4 linked regions of the Arabidopsis thaliana genome follow. The protein of the gene in region 4 interacts with the protein of the main gene of each other region in a pairwise test. Each region holds a gene or a part of one and is shown on either strand. Other genes may lie near its edges. The genes, in order: AT1G33250, AT1G48870, AAE3 and AT2G38510.

What was found.
Region 1: the proteins of AT2G38510 (region 4) and AT1G33250 interact in a protein complementation assay, tested with the Arabidopsis thaliana proteins (one large-scale study listed by BioGRID).
Region 2: the proteins of AT2G38510 (region 4) and AT1G48870 interact in a protein complementation assay, tested with the Arabidopsis thaliana proteins (one large-scale study listed by BioGRID).
Region 3: the proteins of AT2G38510 (region 4) and AAE3 interact in a protein complementation assay, tested with the Arabidopsis thaliana proteins (one large-scale study listed by BioGRID).

The regions. Positions count from the first base shown.
Region 1 is NC_003070.9:12,056,652-12,061,390, forward strand, and holds AT1G33250 (beta-1,3-n-acetylglucosaminyltransferase radical fringe protein, putative (DUF604)), read right to left. Parts: upstream 3,142-4,739; 5' UTR 2,696-3,141; coding exon 1,715-2,695; intron 1,635-1,714; coding exon 1,083-1,634; intron 987-1,082; coding exon 873-986; 3' UTR 547-872; downstream 1-546.
Region 2 is NC_003070.9:18,071,573-18,078,004, forward strand, and holds AT1G48870 (Transducin/WD40 repeat-like superfamily protein), read right to left. Parts: upstream 4,834-6,432; 5' UTR 4,818-4,833; intron 3,681-4,817; exon of another isoform or gene 3,565-3,680; 5' UTR 3,200-3,564; intron 3,000-3,199; 5' UTR 2,886-2,999; coding exon 2,034-2,885; intron 1,940-2,033; coding exon 1,849-1,939; intron 1,756-1,848; coding exon 1,598-1,755; intron 1,515-1,597; coding exon 1,304-1,514; intron 1,223-1,303; coding exon 753-1,222; 3' UTR 551-752; downstream 1-550.
Region 3 is NC_003074.8:18,158,020-18,163,367, forward strand, and holds AAE3 (AMP-dependent synthetase and ligase family protein), read right to left. Parts: upstream 3,468-5,348; 5' UTR 3,276-3,467; coding exon 3,072-3,275; intron 2,879-3,071; coding exon 2,201-2,878; intron 2,082-2,200; coding exon 1,712-2,081; intron 1,463-1,711; coding exon 1,359-1,462; intron 1,201-1,358; coding exon 1,012-1,200; 3' UTR 546-1,011; downstream 1-545. Other genes in the region: AT3G48980 (O-glucosyltransferase rumi-like protein (DUF821)), read left to right, coding at 1-203; AT3G49000 (RNA polymerase III subunit RPC82 family protein), read left to right, coding at 4,884-4,955, 5,030-5,183, 5,276-5,348. UniProt on the Arabidopsis thaliana protein: Oxalyl-CoA synthetase acting exclusively against oxalate. Follows a two-step reaction mechanism, wherein oxalate first undergoes adenylation by ATP, followed by a thioesterification in the presence of CoA to yield oxalyl-CoA.
Region 4 is NC_003071.7:16,122,257-16,126,072, forward strand, and holds AT2G38510 (MATE efflux family protein), read left to right. Parts: upstream 1-1,728; coding exon 1,729-3,189; 3' UTR 3,190-3,279; downstream 3,280-3,816.

The sequences.
Region 1 (4,739 bases), on a different chromosome or scaffold from region 4:
GGGTCACAAAACAAATTTATAGTTAAAATGGTCCAGCGATATTTTTTTTTGTAATTCCATGAATTTTCACACCCACGTAAAATCCATATTCCTCCTCTCACAAATATATCTACAATTTCAGTGGCAGCCAAATAAATAAATACCTCACAAAGTCAAAATCCAAAGAATTTACTTACACTACTAACTCACCAAAAATCTAACTCGGGGCTATTTTGATCATTGCATTAACTATATGACCCCCTTTAAATAGAAGCCATGATGCATCATAATGTCAATTTCAAGGCTTACGACAAAACAACTAGCAAAACCTGGGCTCACTTTGCCAGTGTGTCAGAGAGTTCATGACAAGTCAACTCACACCACAACACTCTTGATTTTAAACCCTTAGTTTTAGAACACACACACACATCTTAAAAATCTATCCAACCAAAGACCTTTCCTTAAATCCGCACTAAATCCACAATCCTATGGACCACTTACCTCACCCTCTACTAGTGGATATATTCTTCTTTAATATATTTAACCCACAAATATTTATGTGGCTATATCAAGATTGCCAATGTAGTAGATATGGAAAAAACAAAACAAAACCATTCTTACTTAACACACAGATGGATAGGTTTCACTGGTAAAGATTTGTTGTTGTACACATTACACTCGTTTCTCAACAGGAAATGTTGAGTTCGTGAAATCTCAGATGTACAAAAAAAGAAAGTGGAACATGGAACAAACAAAAGAGTGACAAATTCAATTTTGGGCATATTAGCATTCTAGGTCAGACAACAGTCAAGGTTCTGGATCTTACCTATGTACAAGTACAGGATAGAGCTGAAACAACATGCTTAGAGAGATCCAGTATTCACCATAAGTGTTCATTGAGAACTAATCGTGGAACCCAAAATTATCTTACCACACTGCCCAACTGTTAATCTGAGAGGCTCGTTAGTAGTAGTTGGGGTTGCTCTGCAACACAACCGTCTCGGCGCCTGTCGTTAAGAAGAGTGGAGAATCATCAATTAGCAAAATCATAAAGAAAATGACAGAAACATTAGGTGATAAAAAGATAAACAAGAAAACCTCACCAAGTGCCAATTTTTACTCAGAGGAAACCCTGAGACCTGGATTTTATCCACTTTGTGCAGAGGTAGAGAGCGTGGAAAACATAGAAGCTTCGTCTTCAAATCATCCTTTACCAAGGATCTTGAGTACGTTCCAAGTGTAGCATTACCTTCTTGGCCAACCTCTTTCAAGAAGAAGAGGATAGGCTTCTTACAGAGAGACGAAATTGGAAGCTTTATGTCAAGATCAAACTCACTGGGTTGACTTATCCCGTTCCAAGCAGAGAAAGAAAGTTCAGCTCGCTCAAGATCCCGTGGTAGGAGAATACTTGGGAAAACTTGTACAACATAACCAAGAGATATCGCAAATGTCAGTTTGTGAGTATGATCATAGCAGATCGATCGCTGCAAAACACTCCTAGGATCCAAACTCATAGCTCTTGTCAAGAGTTTCAAACTATCTAATGTAGATAATCCCGGATAGAGAGGATTAACAGCTTCAACGTGATGAATTGAGACAAATGGTGCAATAGGATGAGAGGACAAGAGACCATGAGCATTTCCCTTAATATCCCACTGTCACAAAAACCTAACATTAGCATTATCATCAGATTGAAGATCCAAGAGATCATAGAAGCAGAGATGATGAAACATACCTGGTGAAAGCCAGGCTCTCTGGACAAAGGAACTCCGAGTTCAGTGATGCAGGCGTGGAGACGATCATCACTACCGTATAGCTTCGGGTATCTATCGAGACAATCGTCGTGAATCCGGGAGAGAGCTTCCGCTAAAGGGTAGCTAATGGCAATGCCACCGCCTCCAAAAGCCATGTTATGACTAAAGTAAGAGTTAGCAGAGTGGCTCTCCGAGGGGTTTCCAATATAAACCATCTCCGAAGGATCATACTTGCTTAACACAGCAAGAAGATTATGAACATTGAAGATAGTATCATCATCACCAAGAACAAACCACCGAACATTAGGGAGAGAGAGACGAAAAGACTCCATAGCAATACGAGAGATTCGAAGTCCAGAAGGATGACCAGTAGGATTAGTGTAACGAAAACGAGAGCTGTCTTCAGAGACAATTATAGGAGGAAGAGAATCATCACCTTCCTCAGGAGAAACTTGCTCTTCAAGCCAGACATGTCCACGCATCTGAGAAGGTTTCCACCATAATCTCACAAGTTCCTTACGACGTTCCCAAAGCTGTGAAGATCCAGCAATACCAAACATCAAGTGATTCATAGACAGATCAAGTTTATCAATCTCTGAGAGACTACGATTTCTAAATTCATGATCGAATAACGGAAGAGCTGGAAGAGACGGCGGCGACGGCGGCGGCGGAGGAGGAGTTACAATTGGATGATGGTACCGTTTGTTCCAGAGATGATTGTCTTCCCAATCTTTAAGAAGATGCCAACAACGGGAAGTGGTTGGTGAGAAGACGAGAGAAAGCCAAGCGACGGAAGCGAGAAGAAGAGCGGAGGTAGCGACTAATGCGGTGGCGAAACGACTGAGACGACAAGGACGGATTCGAGGAGGAGGACGAGAGATTGGGGAAGAGCAAGGACGGTGAGGAGAAGATGAATAAAGGTAAGGAATGAATGAGCACATGACGGTGAGAATTAAACGCATCGCCCCAAGCGCACATTTCCGCCGCCGGGCGACGCAGAACGGCGGCGAACCAAGTTTCCGTTTAAATTAGGGCACAGGGTTTCGATCGCCACCGTCGTCTCGTTTTTTTCTCTCTCTCTTCTTCTTCCTTTCGCCGTCGCTTTGACTTTTCAGGGGTTTGATTTTGATTTTTCAAAATTTAGGGGCGGATTTTGGTAAGAAAAGTTTTTGCCTCGGTGAATGGGCTTAGATCTAATTTAGGCTTGTAGTAATCGGGCCTAATATGGGCCCAGTATGGTACAAAAGATTCTCAAACATCACAGTCCGGTGACCCCAATTTATGTACACTTCAGTTCCCAGGTGGCATTTGGTTGTACTATCGGAAAGCCCAACAACCGTCACTGTCATGTCAGAATTCAGATTCGTTATCCCATCTTTATTATCCTTTTTGTTTTTATTTAACTTTGAAAGATGACTACTTTTTTTCGAAGAAACGCTTTTATTTCTAAATTCTTCTAGTATCATTATTGATGGTTTCTTAAAACAATTATTAAGTTAAGAGACATGTCTTATAATAGCTTATAACTAACAAAAGTCTCTTAAAACACTTTTGTTAGATATAAGATATATCTCTTAACTAAGAGTTATGTTAAGAGACCATCAATAAGGATAGTCTAACGTTTATTATGAAAACATATAAAAACCTACGATTTCAGGGTATTAGAATCCGTCAAATCTGTTTATAACTTTTTGAACTTTAAGTTATGTTGTTTCAAGAATATAGATACAGATCAATAAACATAAAATATATGTTCACTTAACTGAATAAGTAACAAATAGAAAAACCAATTTTTACAGAACTGAAAACTTACTTTAGGATTTTTTCTCCTTCTAGTAAAAACAACGTATAAATAGCCTCTACAATAATATACAAAGCTTTCTATAGGTTTCTATTTTTACATGATACAATTGTAGATCTCTGTTTTAACACCGTAAAGAGATTCTATTAAACTCTACTTTGAAATTCTTACAAATTGATTAGAAAAAAAAGAAGATGAGAATCTCAATTTTTCTCTCATTTACTTCTTTTGTATTGTTCTTCTTTCTTGTTTCTCTTTCTCTTTGTCTCTACATCGTCACGTTTTTATACATTATTTAAACGATGTTTGATCTAAAAAATGTTTCTTATCTCGGTCGGTATTTTTCTAATCGATATAAATGTAACTAAAAAACATAATGTATTTTGCACAAGTAGAAGAAGATTTACATAAACACAAATGTTCATGTAAATAAACACCAATAAATTAGCATGTAATTTTATACATAGAAAAAATGTTTAAAAATCACAAAAAAACGAAAAATAATATAAAGTTTGGATGCATAATTTTTATTGTGTTTATTTATGAGAACTCGTGTTCGAGTACATTTTTGCGTTTATTGTAATGATCATTTGTTATTGTACACAGATTGTATTACAAATTAGTGACCAACATGGAGTGTTTGTTTCCCCATCCTCATCTCCCTCTGCCACGATATAGCTATAGCTAGCGATTGTTTGTGATCTTCAATGAATGGTTTTAGCCCTATACAAAATTATAAAGGTTGGCTGAATTCTATAATCGGACTACTCATCGAGTTTATATCACTAGGGGTAGTAAATTTATCAAACAACCTAATGTAACATGATATACATATTATTAGCCGATGACGGTATGACATATAAAAACCTAGTTACTCATGTTAATTTCAGATTTTTTTTTTCTACTTCTTGATTTAGAATTCAATGAGTTAATTCCCCACATTAAACAATACATCGGTATTTCCGAAAAATAACTCTGCTCACCTACTCGTTGTTGTCTTATAAATTTATTTCTCGCAACTCATAAAAAGGACCGCACAAATTACGATGAGAAATGTATGTGAAGAATGATATAATTAGAGAAATCATAGCATTGAATTGTTAATATCACATTAAATTAAAATGTAGCATGAAAAATGCGTCGGTGAGTGGTTGGGTATATTGGGGTCAATTTCAAGAGAAATTTGTGTATGTACACACAAATGT
Region 2 (6,432 bases), on a different chromosome or scaffold from region 4:
TTCCGATATGTTAGTTTGTTTGTTCCATACAACACTTTTTTCAAGCTTAAGACCCAAAATCGCAATCGCTTGAGGTTTCTTAAACCAAGTTCTTGTCTTCCACTTTCAGGCATATGTTAGCAAAGTTAAAAAGAGCCAACTTAAACTGGAATCCCATTGTTTCTCTAAATACAAAAGTCACCATAAAAACTTCTACTTCTCGTTTGAGGTAGGTGAAGATCAGGCAAACTAATGTTTACTTCTTGGTCTTCAGTAGTGTGTAGATATAGATATTCCACATAGATTTTATCAAGCAACAGAAGAAAATTTGTTTTTGTTGGATTTAATAATTTAGCAGAGGAATGGGAAAATGAAGAAAACGACTACAAGTCTGTCTACAACGAAGCTGCATCAATATAATCCTGTTTTCTCCATAATTTGTATATGTTTGCTATCTGTAAAAAGACCAAGATTTTACCCATTTTTCAAGAGGGCCCATTAAAAAAAGAATCATCTTTGAGCTTTGAAGCAAAACGGAGTCATTTTCTTGGAGATAAAATGAACTAGTATGGACTAAAATGAAGTAGGAGAGAGTCGCTCTAGCAGTTGCAGCATAATCTTATCTGACTAAATTGGCATTGAGCCATCGAGGAACTTGGAAGCGAAGGACTAGAAACTAGAAAATCTACATATATTTAGACACCAAAACAAAAACCAAACAAAAAATCAATTTTTGTTTTCTCCTATTTAAAACAAAAATAGATTATCGATCTCTAAAATGTACGTGGCAGTCCATAGTTATGGAATGTCCTAATCATCCCATCCAAGCTCACGGTCACGATCACCAGTCTCCACGCCTCGGCAAGATCAAACTCGCCGACGGGAAGGTTACTATCGTAACTTCCTACATTCATAAGGAGCTTCTCCTCCGGCCACGTGGCGGTAACACGACAGGAGCGAGACAATCTCCCAGAGCTCTGTATTTTTCTCATAACGCGCCGTGATTCTTCATCATCACCGGCTACTTTCGACACTTTTGTTTCCGGTTGAGTCCAAGCCGCCACCGCGGAAACCCCCGGCGAATGAAAATACTCGAAAGAACGCGACGATTTTGCGCCTTTCCTCGAAGGAAACGCATCGTTGTTCCAGAGATAAACTCCGACACCTCGTCTAACTGATAAAATATGTTTTCCGGTGGAAGAAACAAACGACGCCGACGATTGTCTCCCAAAATTCGATGGAGCTGAATTTTTTTATAAAAAAAATAATCAAAACACAGATTTCAAGAAGTGTAAAATCAAGATTCAAAGATTTTTTTTTATACCTTTGAATTTGTGAATCATTTGTGTTTTGTCAAATATTCGAACTTTCGAATCTTCAGAAGATACTAAAATTTTCTCGGAGCTTCCAGGACAAAACTCCACGGCGGTGATTCTATTCCTTCCCCGGATAAGAATCTGTTCATCCATTATCACATCGTTATCTAAGATTTGATAGAACCTACAGTTCCCAGTGATGCAACCAACAACAAACCCCTGAAGCAAAAACAGAGCAAAGTTGAGTTTTTTTAGAAAGGATGATCTTTTGAGTAGAGAATAGACAGAGAATGTCAAATTACATTTCCGTTTGGTTGGTAAGAGATTGCAGAAATGGAATCACGAACATCGGTCCAAGCGACAACTCTTTCTTCTGACAAACCCCAGATTCGAGCTTTTCCATCTATAGACCCACTTGCGAAGTTGTTCTTATTTACAGGATTGAATTCAACGCAAGTCACTGTATTTGAAAGACAAAAGCAACATGAGTGAGTTAACAAACGTTTTTGCAAAGATTTCAGAACAAACAACTTGAGATGCAAAAAATACTTACCGTAGTTGTTATGATGGAAGACATGAAGACATTGATCACAACCAGTTCTCCATAACCGAACTGTCTTGTCTTTAGAAGCTGAAAGAAGCAACTGCAAAGCCAAATCACCAAAGACAACAGATTTTATAAGTAATGAATCAACAAATCTCAAAAACAAGAAAAGAAAAACAAAGTAATAAACTCACATTTGAGTCTGACCATGCTAAGTCCAAGACATCTCCGGTATGACCATAAAGTTCTTGAAACGGTGTTTCTTCGATATGAAAAGCTTTCTGAGGAAACAGAACCAATGCTGCTTGTTGGTTTATTGGTTCTTGTTGTCGAAGAAAAGAGGCGAGTAGAGAATCCGATAGCGTGATTCGCCATATCTTTACAACTCCATCTTCGCCTCCGGTTGCTAAGTATTTACCATCAGGACTAAACTTTAATGTCCAAATTTTCCCTTTGTGTCCATTAATCTTTTGTACCATGTAAGCTGCAGATAACTCTACATGACTCTTCTTGTTAGTCTTCACTTTCACTTTGCTCATTGTCTCTTCACTTGATTTGTATTTGAAATCTTTATCCTTCACTCCTGCTGAAAAGCAATTGAACAACCATTTTTTCGCGCTTTTCTTGCTGGAACTCCGCGATGGACTGGTGGAAGCATTACTTGAGATTTCTTCTGAATCATCATCATCATCATCCACTCCTTCTAGTTCCTCATCAGAGATTGAAGTAGTTGATCCATAGTTCTCCTCTCTAACACAACACTGCAATCCACTATCACAGAGAGATGAATCTGAAGAAGAACTAGTAACCTCATCACTGTAATCGCTTACCATCCTCTCCAGACACCTCTCTTCTAATAAACCCATTTTCTTGAGAAACCGTACACGACGTTCCTCAACACTAATTGGCTCACCAGACCAAACTTGAAACTCTGCTTCTTCTACTTCTTCTTCTTCTACTACTACTTGTTCACCAATAGACAAAACATCAGATGAATCAAAGAACAAATCATCAACAACAACTTCACTTCTTCCCACACTCATCATTTCAATCACAACTTCCACCAAAAACTAAAAAGCTTCCTCCTTTTTCTTATATAAACCTTCTTCTTGTAGCCTCAACGCGGTTCACGGACCGTAAATCCCTCAAATGTTTAAAACCTAACAAAGAGTGCGAAAAACCAAATCTTCCATTAGTAAACAACAACAAAACTAACCCGACTCAATTCTCTGAACTTACATTAATCACAAAATATGAAAAACCCACACATCTCTTAAACTAATCGATTAAACAAAAAAAGACGGTTCCTGAAACTCAGGAAGTGAATAGAATAATCAAAAGTCTGGATAAAAGTTCGTACCTTTGTCTAGTTAAGAAGCAATGATCCACAACAAGAAGTCAAATTCTGATAGCCGACGAGGAATTAGGTCTCGGGTTTGATTTGATTTTTCTTCAAACCAAAGCAAGATTTGTTATTTCAAGTTTCTTCTCCGTGTGATTAAGGAAGATATAAAAACCAGACAAAACATTTACGTTATGTCTCAGAGAGAGAGTGGTTGGGTGCATCAATGGCGGCCCAATGAGAATCTCTGAGATCTTTTTGACGGCGAAGTGGCCGCGATTCAGGAGACAGGAGACAATTAAAACTTTCTTACTCCCGACCAATCTCTCAGACTCTCTTTTACTGTTGTCTTTTGTTTTCGTGCTTTTTGGGCTTATGTCTCTCTGCAACAACGGCGATTTAATATAAAATAAAAAAGAGTTTGGATCAGAATCATGTTTAGTGCTACGCAGAACTAACGAAAATACACGATTGTCGACAAAACCCAGATTAAGTAAATTACCCTTGAATTTCGAAAATTCTTTCTGACAATAGTTTTTCTTAGCTGCTTACACACAAACAATAGTGTTATTTTCTTGAATGCACTTTAATATTTTCTTAAAATACTTTTTTTAAAAATAATTGGCAAATTATTAACCTAAAGTTTTACCATTCATGATCATCTTTGGGTAAGGCAGTGAATTAATTGTGGTTGTGAAAATTTACCGTAGTGTAAAAAGACATTTCATTTTCACGGAAGATTCCTACCTTTATTTCTCCTGACATTGCTTTGTCTTATTTTAAACAAATGAGTAAATATGCTTTTCTACTTTTTCCATTTTGTAAGCTATGTATTCTAATTTCTAATTAAATGAATTTTCATAATTTATATATAGGTAAATTTTAATTTTGTCTACCAATATTTTCTTGTTTGAATAGAATTCCAAAAATACTATTTGTTTAAATCCTTCCACAGATTAGGGAGATTTTATTATGACCGAATCATCATATATCCAGAGACCATTAAAATTGCTACATTTGGGGCCAGAATTTATCCAGAATGTAACAAGACCGGAAAGGTTTAAATTTTAGATGTGACCAAAAAAAAAGTTTAAAATTTTAGTTTTGAACGTTTAAAAAACAGATTTTGTGGTTCGTTTGAAAGAGTATTTAGAACGAAAAAATACATAAATTAAAGCTATATTTATAAAGTTTTCATATTAAGTACGATGAATAAGAATAATAAGAAATGGTATTTTATATATATATATATATATAGTAGGTGATATTAAATATGCGGTCGTATTGTATCTCAACATCCAATAAGTTTTACCATACATTCACCAGTTAATTTTTGTTAACTACTTGTTGTAAGTTCATTTATATATTTCGCTATGTAATGGCAATGAGAAAATGGCAGTAGTTAATTTCTTGTGTCATAAGTGTATACAACAAAGAAGGTTCGTATTCAGACTTATTTACGTAGTTACATTTTGATAACAGCAATTTAATTAAGTTTAACCTGCTTCTTTAGAACGTATAAAAGTTAGAACTATAAAGCATCATTTTATACAATCATCTGTATATTGAAACGAAAAAAACAAGAATCTGAGTAACTATGCAAACTATAGTACAATATATGTGTAAGAACACGAACCAGTAATCTTGACTGCAGTTTTGGACTCGAACTAGCTTGATATGCAACTATGGCGGAATCTTCAAATTTTGAAGGTGAGAGATATAGAGAGAGAGATCTCATATAATATAATGTAGCATTAGTGGTCGACGATGTGTGCTTATATATATAGTTATTTGTATATTACTATAGTGTATATTATTTTATTTTTCTCAAAAATATTCATAAATGATAACGTGGATATACATTATAGTATATAATTACAAAAATTTTACAATAACCAAACAGATTATTCGATTGCATTTTAAAATTATTGAAACTTTGGTTTAAGAGAAAATGATATAATTATTGAAACTGATTATGACAACTATTTCTTCCCCAGCTTGTAGGACGCATAATCTTCTCTATTTTTTTTATTTTTATTTTTATTTTTTTAATCTTCTCTATTTATGTTCAGACATTAAGAATACACAAAATGTTATCTGCATAATACAAATCTACCAAATGATTCATTGGATGCAAATTATAAATTAATAAAAAGTTTATGAAGTAACATAATGCGACAACTCGCTACCTTTTTATTTTTGTGATTTGAGAACCATTGGATGATATTGTTCGAATCTCAAGAGATTTGATTGGTCAAAGTACGCACGTAATTTGGTAACCAATTAATAATTGATAAAAACAAAATCTGCAACTTGTTTTTGTTATACAGTACCAAACCTAACTCGTATCTTCGTCATGATAATGTGATTCATGCAAATAATTGAACCATGAAGCAAATGAGTATATTCAGTTATAAAAATAAAAAGCTGATTTATTAGTTTAGTACAGACTAATGGTGGATAACTCCTGAACGTGGAATGTTTCAAATTGGTGAACTTTTTCTTTTTGCTTAATTATTATTTTAAACTACGAAAAAGTGTATAAATGGGAGAGTGTTGACAACGTTATACATTTCATTCGTAAGTTGAGTACTCTACACGCATCGTCTCCAATTTCAAAGAGCTTATGTATTCTTGCTTCGTGTCTTTATGTGGTTGAGTTTGAATTCGTGATGGATATATATTCAATGATACGTGGTTGTATTCGGATTTGTCATGGAAATAACTAGCTAGTTTTATATTCAGTGATACGAAACTAGTTAGAAATAGTGGTTCATCGATGTACGTAGTAATGTGAGTTCATCTTTCCACGAAGCCTAAAATAGGCTCCTACTCATTAATACTATCTTGATGCCAAAAAAGGCACTACGACTAATTGTACCATAGATGACAAAAAAAAAGAAGAAGACTAATTGTACCATATAAGATAAACTAAAGTATTTAGGAGGAAAAAAACTATTAGCTACTGTCTCGAGTCCCATGCAATTGCTGGGTTTTGTTGACTTTTCCGTGGACCGGTCAATTCTGTATATACACCATAAGTCCATAGGTTTATCTCTAACAGTTTAAAACATAAAAACGAATTTACTTCTTTTTTTTTTGTTGAATTTACACAAACATATAAATATATTATAGACGAATAATCGAGTATTATAATTATTTAGACTAAAATTATTACTCATTTATACGAATTAGTTAGCAAAATATGTTATTTATTATATCCAAAAAATATATGTGATTTAACTTAGACA
Region 3 (5,348 bases), on a different chromosome or scaffold from region 4:
CATGCCCGAGGGATGGAAATGAACGAAAGTTTATGATGGAATCACTCGTAAAACGCCCAGCTGAGACAGGTCCCTGCGCCATGCCGCCTCCGTATGATCCGGCATCATTTTATTCAGTTTTGAAAAGGAGACAGAGTACGACTAGTAGAATCGAACAGTGGGAGAGTAAGTACTGGAGGAAGCAGAACAAGACCGGTTCGTAAAATTAGATTGGCGTATAAAGTTTTGGTGTGTAGAGTAAAAGCACTTGTCAGAATTGTATCGAGTAGTATAAATTAGAAAACATGCGATCTTTATTTTCTTCTCCGTTTTTTTGGTAGAATTTTAACTAATCCATTCTGTCTAGTGAATTCGACGATACAAAGTTTTAATCGGTAATAAAAGTAAATAAGTTTTGTACGGTTTGATCTTATATCTCTATGACTATGCCTGAATCTAGGAAAATCCTTATGGTAAATGTTTTATCCTCGTATTGAGTTCTATATTGAAATCACAAAGTTAACTTTTTTTTTTTTTTTCTTCTATCACAAAAGTTAACTTTAAAATTCAAATTTGGAGCTCAAGTTCAGAATTAGTTAGCTATAACATGGAATGGAACATAATTTGGGACATAGTGAAAGTCTACCTGTCCCACTAAACGGTCGGTTTGTTCAACGAACCAAACGCTTTAAAAAGTGACAATGTAATATTTGTCCTTTGGCTTTACCCGTTTTGGCAGTACGCTTTTAGTTGTCAAATTGGCCATTAGATCAAGAGCATCAGTAACAAAAAGACGCAGAGACAACACCAACAAAAAGAAACTCTCCTTTATTGTTGTACTTCAATAATCACTTATCGACTTTTATTTCCACTTTTGTGATTTAATCTATAACCTTTACCACCATGAAACATATAAAAAGTAACTTTTAAACCAAGAACCAATAATAGAGAACGCATATCCATTTGCGTGAAAAGTGAAAACTAGGACTCATCACCGATGATTTTCGAGCAAGATGGTGTTTTCTGTGTGTTTCAGGGCTTCTCAAGGAAATGTTGTGCGACGATACGGCGCTGAATCTTACCAGAGGCAGTTTTGGGGAGGTTATCAGTGATGAACACTCTCTTTGGCACCTTGAAAGCTGCCAAATTCTTCTTACAAAACGCTTTAATGTCCTCTTCGGTTACAGTAGTTCCTTCTCTTGGAATCACCGCACAGTTAATCTGATAAACCAATAAACCAGGGAAACACAGCGTTATTAACAGCTCATTGATAAGTAAGTTCACATGATGTTTGATGATTCTGCAGGACATAATGGTAGATAAGGGAGACCAATTCATAAATTCAAATTAGAGACAATTTAAGCACAGGTTTTGTTTACCTCTTCCCCATATTTCTCATCAGGAACACCGAATGCAACACCCTGAGAAACGTCAGGATGCGTTAAGAGTACTGCATCCACTTCAATTGGAGATATCTTCTCACCTGAAATAGATTATAATTAAGTACACATAGAAAATCTAACTCATTCATACAAAAGATCATGATACTGCACAAAGTAGCCTCTTTCTTTGTCTTGTCTCATTTCTAATTTGTTGGAGGGTTTTCTTTGACAAGTCTAACATAGTACTGCACAAAGTAGCCTCCACCGAGACTATACAAATAAACTGCTAGACATAGACTAGTATTCTTGTGAAACAGTAAAGCCATCAAAATAGAGTAAATGAGACTAACCTCCACGGTTAATAAGCTCTTTGATCCGACCCACCAGATGCAAATACCCATCGGTATCAAAGTAACCGATATCACCAGTGTGGAACCACCCAAACTCGAAACCTGCCTTGTTGGCTTCTGGGTTATTCTTGTAACCCTTGGTCACATTTGGACCTCTTATACAAACCTCTCCTTTGTTATTTGGCTCTTGGATCTCGCCTTTCTCATTAAGGATCGCCATTTCTTGACCTACCGGTTTCCCAACAGACCCAGGCTTGTGTGGACCTTCCTCTGGTAAGGGGTTTGAGCTCATCAAATGTGTTGCCTCTGTCATTGCATAGGCCTCGAGCACCGGTGCTCCAAACGCTTCCTCAAGCCTGGACAATATCACCTAACAAAAACCAAGACAAAATAAGTCATTAAGTTATTGAAAGCCAAAGCAATCCAACGTTTTACAAAACACTGTGCATTACAAACGCCTCAACAATTGACTGGAAACAAGAGCATTACCGGAGCCAAAGAAGCACTGCAACTCCTGATGAACCGGAGTTTAGGATATTCCGTCTCAGGGTGGCTCGCGTGGCGGTCCAATATGATCTGATGAATGGTCGGCACAGCAGTATACCATGTAGCGTTATACTTCTTCATATCTGGCCAAAATGTTGTTGCTGAGAATCTACCAGCAGCTGGAAGAGTTACAGCAGCACCAGCTCCAAGCGAGCTAAGCAACCCAGCTAACAATCCATGAACATGGAACAGAGGGAGAACAATCACCGTAGAATCAGACTCAGTAAGCTTGTACACAGCTTTAATGTTCTTGACGGATGAAGCTAGATTGAGCTGCGTAAGCGGTACACCCTTTGGACGGCTCGTAGTGCCAGAAGTGTGGAGGAAGAGAGCACCGTCGTCCGGGTGATTAACGAGTTCCGTCGCTGAGTCAACGACGGAATCTGAATCCGCAACGGATAGTACAAGGTCCGAGCCAGCGTCAAGCAGCGTAGCGGTGACGTGAGAGATTTTCAGCTTTGAAGCTGCTTCTTGAGCCGGTGCGTTTCCTTCTTTAGAGGTTAACAATAGCTTTGAATCTGAATCGGAGAGGTAAAACTCAAATTCCTCCGCCGTGTACGCTGCGTTCAACGGCGCCGCCGTGGCTCTAGCTCTTATCACCGCTAAAAACATTATAACAAACTGAAAACAAAAAAAAAAAATCAAAACCAAATTCATCCAAAAAAATCATCTGAATCCGGAAATCAAAATTTCTCAATTAAGAAGCGATTTACAGATATTCATAAATTCTGCTTCCCATGTGATTCTTCAGCACGCAAAACAAAACCAGAAACGAAGCTTTTAAATCGAAATATATGAAAACCTCTTAAAATACCTCGACGGTGTTAGGGAAGGTGAGAGCAACGACATCGCCGGGTTTGATTCCAGCGTCGGAGACAAGGCGTGAAGCGGCGCGTTCGATTAGATCGTGAAGACGCGCGTGAGTGAGATTGAATTTTCCAGAAACGGAGAGAGCTCGGCGATCGGGGAATTTTTTGGCGACGTTTTCCAATAATCCTGAGAGAGTATCGCTATCCATGGTTACGTCGGAGAGATAAACACGAGAGTAACGATGATGAGGAAGGAGAGAATGTGAAAGCAGAGAAGAGAGCAAATGCGATATTTATAAATTTATATTCAATTACTACAGTATCTGTGGAAGCAAAAAATGGCTAAAAGATGATGCCACGTGTTATCATCGTAGCGGATTTTCTATTGATCGTGTGGTCATAATGTTTTCATTTTTAATTATTTTGTTAACGGTGGGAGTCGCTGATATATATCCTTACGATTAGACCGACGTTTCGGTTTTTGAAGAGGTGGTTTTTTTAATTTCGATTCCGGTACAAACACTGAACCGAAACGGCTAGTTAATTAACTTTTGAAAATATTTTTTTTCGGCAAGCATGCGATAGTAATTTACGGTTTATGAATTATTTCATAGGAATTTGAAATAGTTTGTGTATGTATTATCAAACAAAAGAATAGTTTCATTAAAAAAATAGCCTATGAGTGTTTAATCACTTTTAGGGCCTTTGCACATGTGTCTTTGACTAGGATTATCACGTTTCGAAGATGCTTGACGTTGTTTATACTTTATATTATAAATAGAAGATAACGTCCTTATTTTGATTGTTAATAAATTAAATTGACCAAGGTAAAAATGTAAAATTAAAATAAGAAATGGTAAAAATGACTTTGAATGATAAGAATAAATATATTATTTATAGAAAAAAAGTAGAAGACTAAATATAATGAGACATATATCTTTTTGAAGTAATCAATTTTGTTTTGTCTATACATACAAATTATTATATTATTTTATTTGGTTTGATACATGCACACTATCTAACTAAACAATAGTGGATTTGGATAATTATTCAACAATGAAACTAATTTAAACCACTAAACATGCGTAGCTTAGAAGAGAGTCAGAGTAGAATTTACTAATCAAAGATTTAGTTTACCTTGTTATTTGTTAAAGATTAAAATTATGTATATGATTATGAATAGAAATACAAAAATCTCGTATAGATGAAAACGACAGTGTTTTAAAATATAAGTCATATTCATGAAGCTGAAAAAGTCATTTTCCATTCTCCTAACTAAGTAAAAACATGGTCTTCATGTAAGCCGTCACATACAAATACAATAGAAGAATTTGGTTTGTGTTTGTTCTTCTTAAGTAGAGCATTGTCATCTGGCCCAATCATTGAAAATTCTCAAGTACATTTCGTTCCATCACTAATTTTTTTTCTTGGGTCAAACCATACATTCAATTTATTAGGGCCTGATAGGCCCAAACTTCTCTAGGCCAACAATTAATAACCTACAATTAGGGATGTTAAAATGGGCTAAATATTTAAGGCCGGCCCGAGTCCTTATAAAAAACAAAAGCCCTAGCCCTGGGTTGGTGTTTTCTTATACTTATATTGGTGGGTTCATGTTAGATTATCGAAATTTTGGATTCGAACGTGTGGATCGCTGGAAAAATTAAACTTTAGGGTCGCTAGATTACGATTGCTTCGCTTTTTAGTAGTAGTAGGCTACAATCGATTGGCAAACATCTCTATATCGGCCATAACTCCGTCAAGCTCTGCAGAGGCTGCTTCATCAGTATTGAGAGACTTCCTGGTGATTGATTCTCATGTCTATGTCTGAGTTTGGCATTGTCTACGCCATCCATATCATCACCGTCCAATTCGGCTCCGTCGTCTCGGTAAATTGAGAAACCCTTCTGAGACTTGTGTTGAATTTATAATCTCTGTATAACGAATTTGGTTTTGGTTGCAGAAAGTTTGTGAATGTCTTCTACGTAAAGGACCTCTTTCCTCACGAGACATCTCTCGTTTAGCTGAATCAGATATCAACCATAACAAAGTTAAAGATATTCTCTATCTCTTGATTCAGCACAATTGTGTTCAAGCTTTCTCCATTGAACCTCCTGGTTAGTCTCTATATTGTTTGATTAGTAGCAACACACAGAAATAGAGAACTCAATGAAAGTAATTTTGTATGTTTTTTTTTTTTACTTTGTAGATGGTTCTGAGAGCAAAGCTATTGTACAGTATATTGTGTTGTTTAACAACATTCTGCATCGTGTGAGGTATAA
Region 4 (3,816 bases):
AGAGATTATAAATGGAGAATGCGATGTTTCAACATCCGTCAAAGGAGAAAATAGCGGCAGCGCCAAATTCTCTGCTGGTCTCCGTCGCATCCCTTTCAATGAGGCTTGTTTCTTTTTCTTTAATTTCTCTTTTCTTGTTCTTACATTTTCTTCAACAAAAAAATTCCAATTAGCTTTGACAAGTCATCACTCTGCTTATTCTTTGATTTCATAGTTTTCTTGTGTTTTTGTTTGTACTACTAGTTTTCGTGATCAGGACCATCCTAATATAGAGACGTTTGCTACGTTTAACCAGAGAATTTGGTGATTTTTGATGGATTATTATATTGTTTTCAGTCACTTTCGCAGTATTTTTTGGGTCTGGTAAATAATATGTAGTTCTTGGAAATTGATCTTATACTGGATTGAATGCTTCTTTTGACTGTTTTTATAGCATTTTAACCGAATATAATGCATCCCTTTTAAAAACATAGCATGAATAATGCTTCATCTATCTTTCACGTACTTGAGAAATACAATGTTGAAAATTCATTTATATATAAGTTTTCTCTGTATATATATATATATATATATATGTGTATATATGTTCATATTTATGCCTAAAGCGTTACTACTTACTACTAGTATGATAAATCCTCACTTTCATGGACTGAAAGAGATGCTTTTTGTGTTGTACTTACTTTATATTTCTTGACAGTTGGGTTGTACTTACTTAGGAAAGTGTTCTATATAGGTTTCCTCTCACTCTATTCTTTTTATCAGTTTCTTTACTTAGTACAAATATAATCTAGTTACTTTCCGATTTATTTTCTTGAAATCCTTATCCGATTGTTTATGAAATGTCAATAGTAGTTCATGATACTTTTACAAGTATCTATGCGTAAAATATTTTTTATATGTTTTTAAAATGTGGATATTCTTAATGAAGATATCATGAAATGAAAGGTAATATCTAAGCTGATTTTGTTTTTTCAAAAAGAAAACAAAAAAGGTGAGCTTTTAAAAACCCATGATGATTTTTATTTAAAAAGATCCTAGAATGTTGGTACAGTTAGCCATTCGCTTTTCTGGCACTTGTGAATTTGATTATATATTCAGTTCTAAAAGTTATAGAGTTTAAACCTTTTTCTCTTCCTTTTTCAACTTTCTCATCCCAGTCCCAGTGGCCATGTGATGCGACCATCTTCCTCGTGCTTACAAATTGTTCTTAATTTTATAATATGATAAAATATCATTTTCCGTATTGTAATGTAATGTCCTTCTGTTTCACAATAAAATTAATTTAAGATTTTATTTGACAAAAAGAAACAATTAAGGTACAATGATTTTTTTAATAACTCATGTATAAAAAGCTCATATAAATACCATTTTCATACAACTTATTAGAAAAGAAATTTGTTTGTTTATTGTGATAAAAATATTAATAAATGATATACCAGAAAATTTAATATTTTTAGTGAGTGCAATATCGTTAATTAAACGAAATTAAATCACGTACAAAATATTAAACATGATTAAAAAAGGATATTAAAGACTAAATCATATTTTGAGGATAATTTTTTTTTTTTTAATATACAACATACTCGTGTTGCGCTCTTTCTATACACTAATATCTTCTCGAGTGCGTTTTGCTAGAACTAGAAGCCTATAGAACATGTGAAAAAATAAAGAGTTGTTCAATTGAAAAACCTAACAAAAATAACATAATTTTTTAATTTTATTTTTCCCATGCAGGTGGGAGAGGAGATGGCGTCACTCACAAAAATAGCTTGCCCGATTGTGATGACATCACTCCTCATATTCTCAAGATCAATAATCTCAATGTGGTTCTTGAGTCATCTCGGAAAAGTCGAACTCGCTGGTGGTGCACTCGCTATGGGCTTTGGAAACATCACTGGAGTCTCCGTACTTAAAGGCCTTTCCGTTGGTATGGACCCAATCTGTGGCCAAGCCTTCGGAGCCAAACGTTGGACCGTACTTAGCCACACGTTTCAGAAAATGTTCTGTCTCTTAATTGTCGTCTCTGTTCCAATCGCCGTTACGTGGCTCAACATCGAACCCATTTTCCTACGGTTGGGTCAGGACCCAGATATTACCAAGGTAGCCAAAACCTATATGCTCTTCTTCGTCCCTGAGCTCTTGGCTCAGGCCATGCTCCATCCGCTTCGAACGTTCCTTAGAACGCAAGGCTTAACATCACCGCTCACGATATCTGCCATTGTATCCATTCTTCTTCATCCTCTCTTCAACTACGTCTTTGTCGTGCGTATGCGTTTAGGCGTTAAGGGTGTGGCCATCGCAATGGCTTTCAACACTATGAATATCGACGTGGGACTGCTCGTTTATACGTGCTTCTCGGATTCTCTAATCAAACCGTGGGAAGGGCTCGCTTTGCGGTCACTTTTCCGCGGCTGGTGGCCGCTGCTTTCTCTAGCCGCACCAAGCGCTATCTCGGTGTGTTTGGAGTATTGGTGGTATGAGATCATGCTTTTTCTTTGTGGGCTTCTTGGGAACCCTAAAGCAAGCGTGGCCGCCATGGGAATATTGATTCAGACCACCGGGATACTATACGTAGTCCCGTTTGCTATTAGCAGCGCCATTGCAACCCGTGTAGGTCACGCTCTTGGAGGCGGCCAACCAACACGGGCACAATGTACGACCGTGATTGGCTTGATACTCGCGGTAGCGTACGGTTTAGCAGCTGCTGTTTTTGTGACCGCGCTTAGGTCGGTTTGGGGAAAGATGTTCACGGACGAACCGGAGATTCTCGGGCTTATTTCGGCTGCGCTTCCGATCTTGGGGCTTTGCGAGATTGGAAACTCGCCACAGACGGCTGCTTGCGGAGTCTTGACTGGGACGGCTAGGCCTAAAGATGGAGCACGCGTTAACCTATGCGCATTCTACATTGTGGGCTTGCCTGTGGCAGTTACGACCACGTTTGGGTTTAAGGTTGGGTTTCGTGGGCTATGGTTTGGACTGTTATCTGCGCAGATGACGTGTTTGGTAATGATGCTTTATACGTTAATCCGTACGGACTGGTCTCATCAAGTGAAGCGGGCAGAGGAACTTACCTCCGCTGCAGCCGACAAAAGCCATTCGGAAGACGAAACCGTCCATGCTGAAGTACAAGACGATGATGATGTGAGTAGCAATGATCTGGAGATTGGTTTACTACAAAATACGAATTGACTAGTTTAGCTAGAAATGTTAAAATTATCAATCGACAATTTTTAACGGATTGTTAATGATATAGGAAACTTTTTTTTTTTGGCAAACTAAAAATACCGAAGATAGATTTGTGTCCGAACTGTTAACTAAGATTTTGTGAAAAGACTCAGCCATTTAATTGGTTGAGCTTAGCTTTTTCTAACACGCAGAAGTATGTAGTGAGAACAGTTGTGACGAATCTATCAAGGATCAATCAAGATCAATCACAATTCTACTTATGTAAACTATATATTCTGTAATTAGAAGTCTCTAGAACATCTAGTCTGTATATAAACAATGTAAATCATCTCAATACAAATCATCCAATTCTATATTCTTTATATGGTATCAGAGCATCATCGATACCTAAAAATAAAAAACCTAAAAACAGCCGCCTCTCTCCTTTCTTTCTTCTTCTCCCCCGTTGATTTTTTTATTCCTCTGTTTTTCAAACTTCAACCATGTCGAATGTTTCTTCTGAAACCGTCAACCTCAACAACACCTCCATTGTTCACATGAACATGTCGAATGTGACAAAACTTACGGCCTCCAATTACATAATGTGGAGCCGCCAAGTCCACGCTCTCCTTCACGGCTACGGTCTCACTC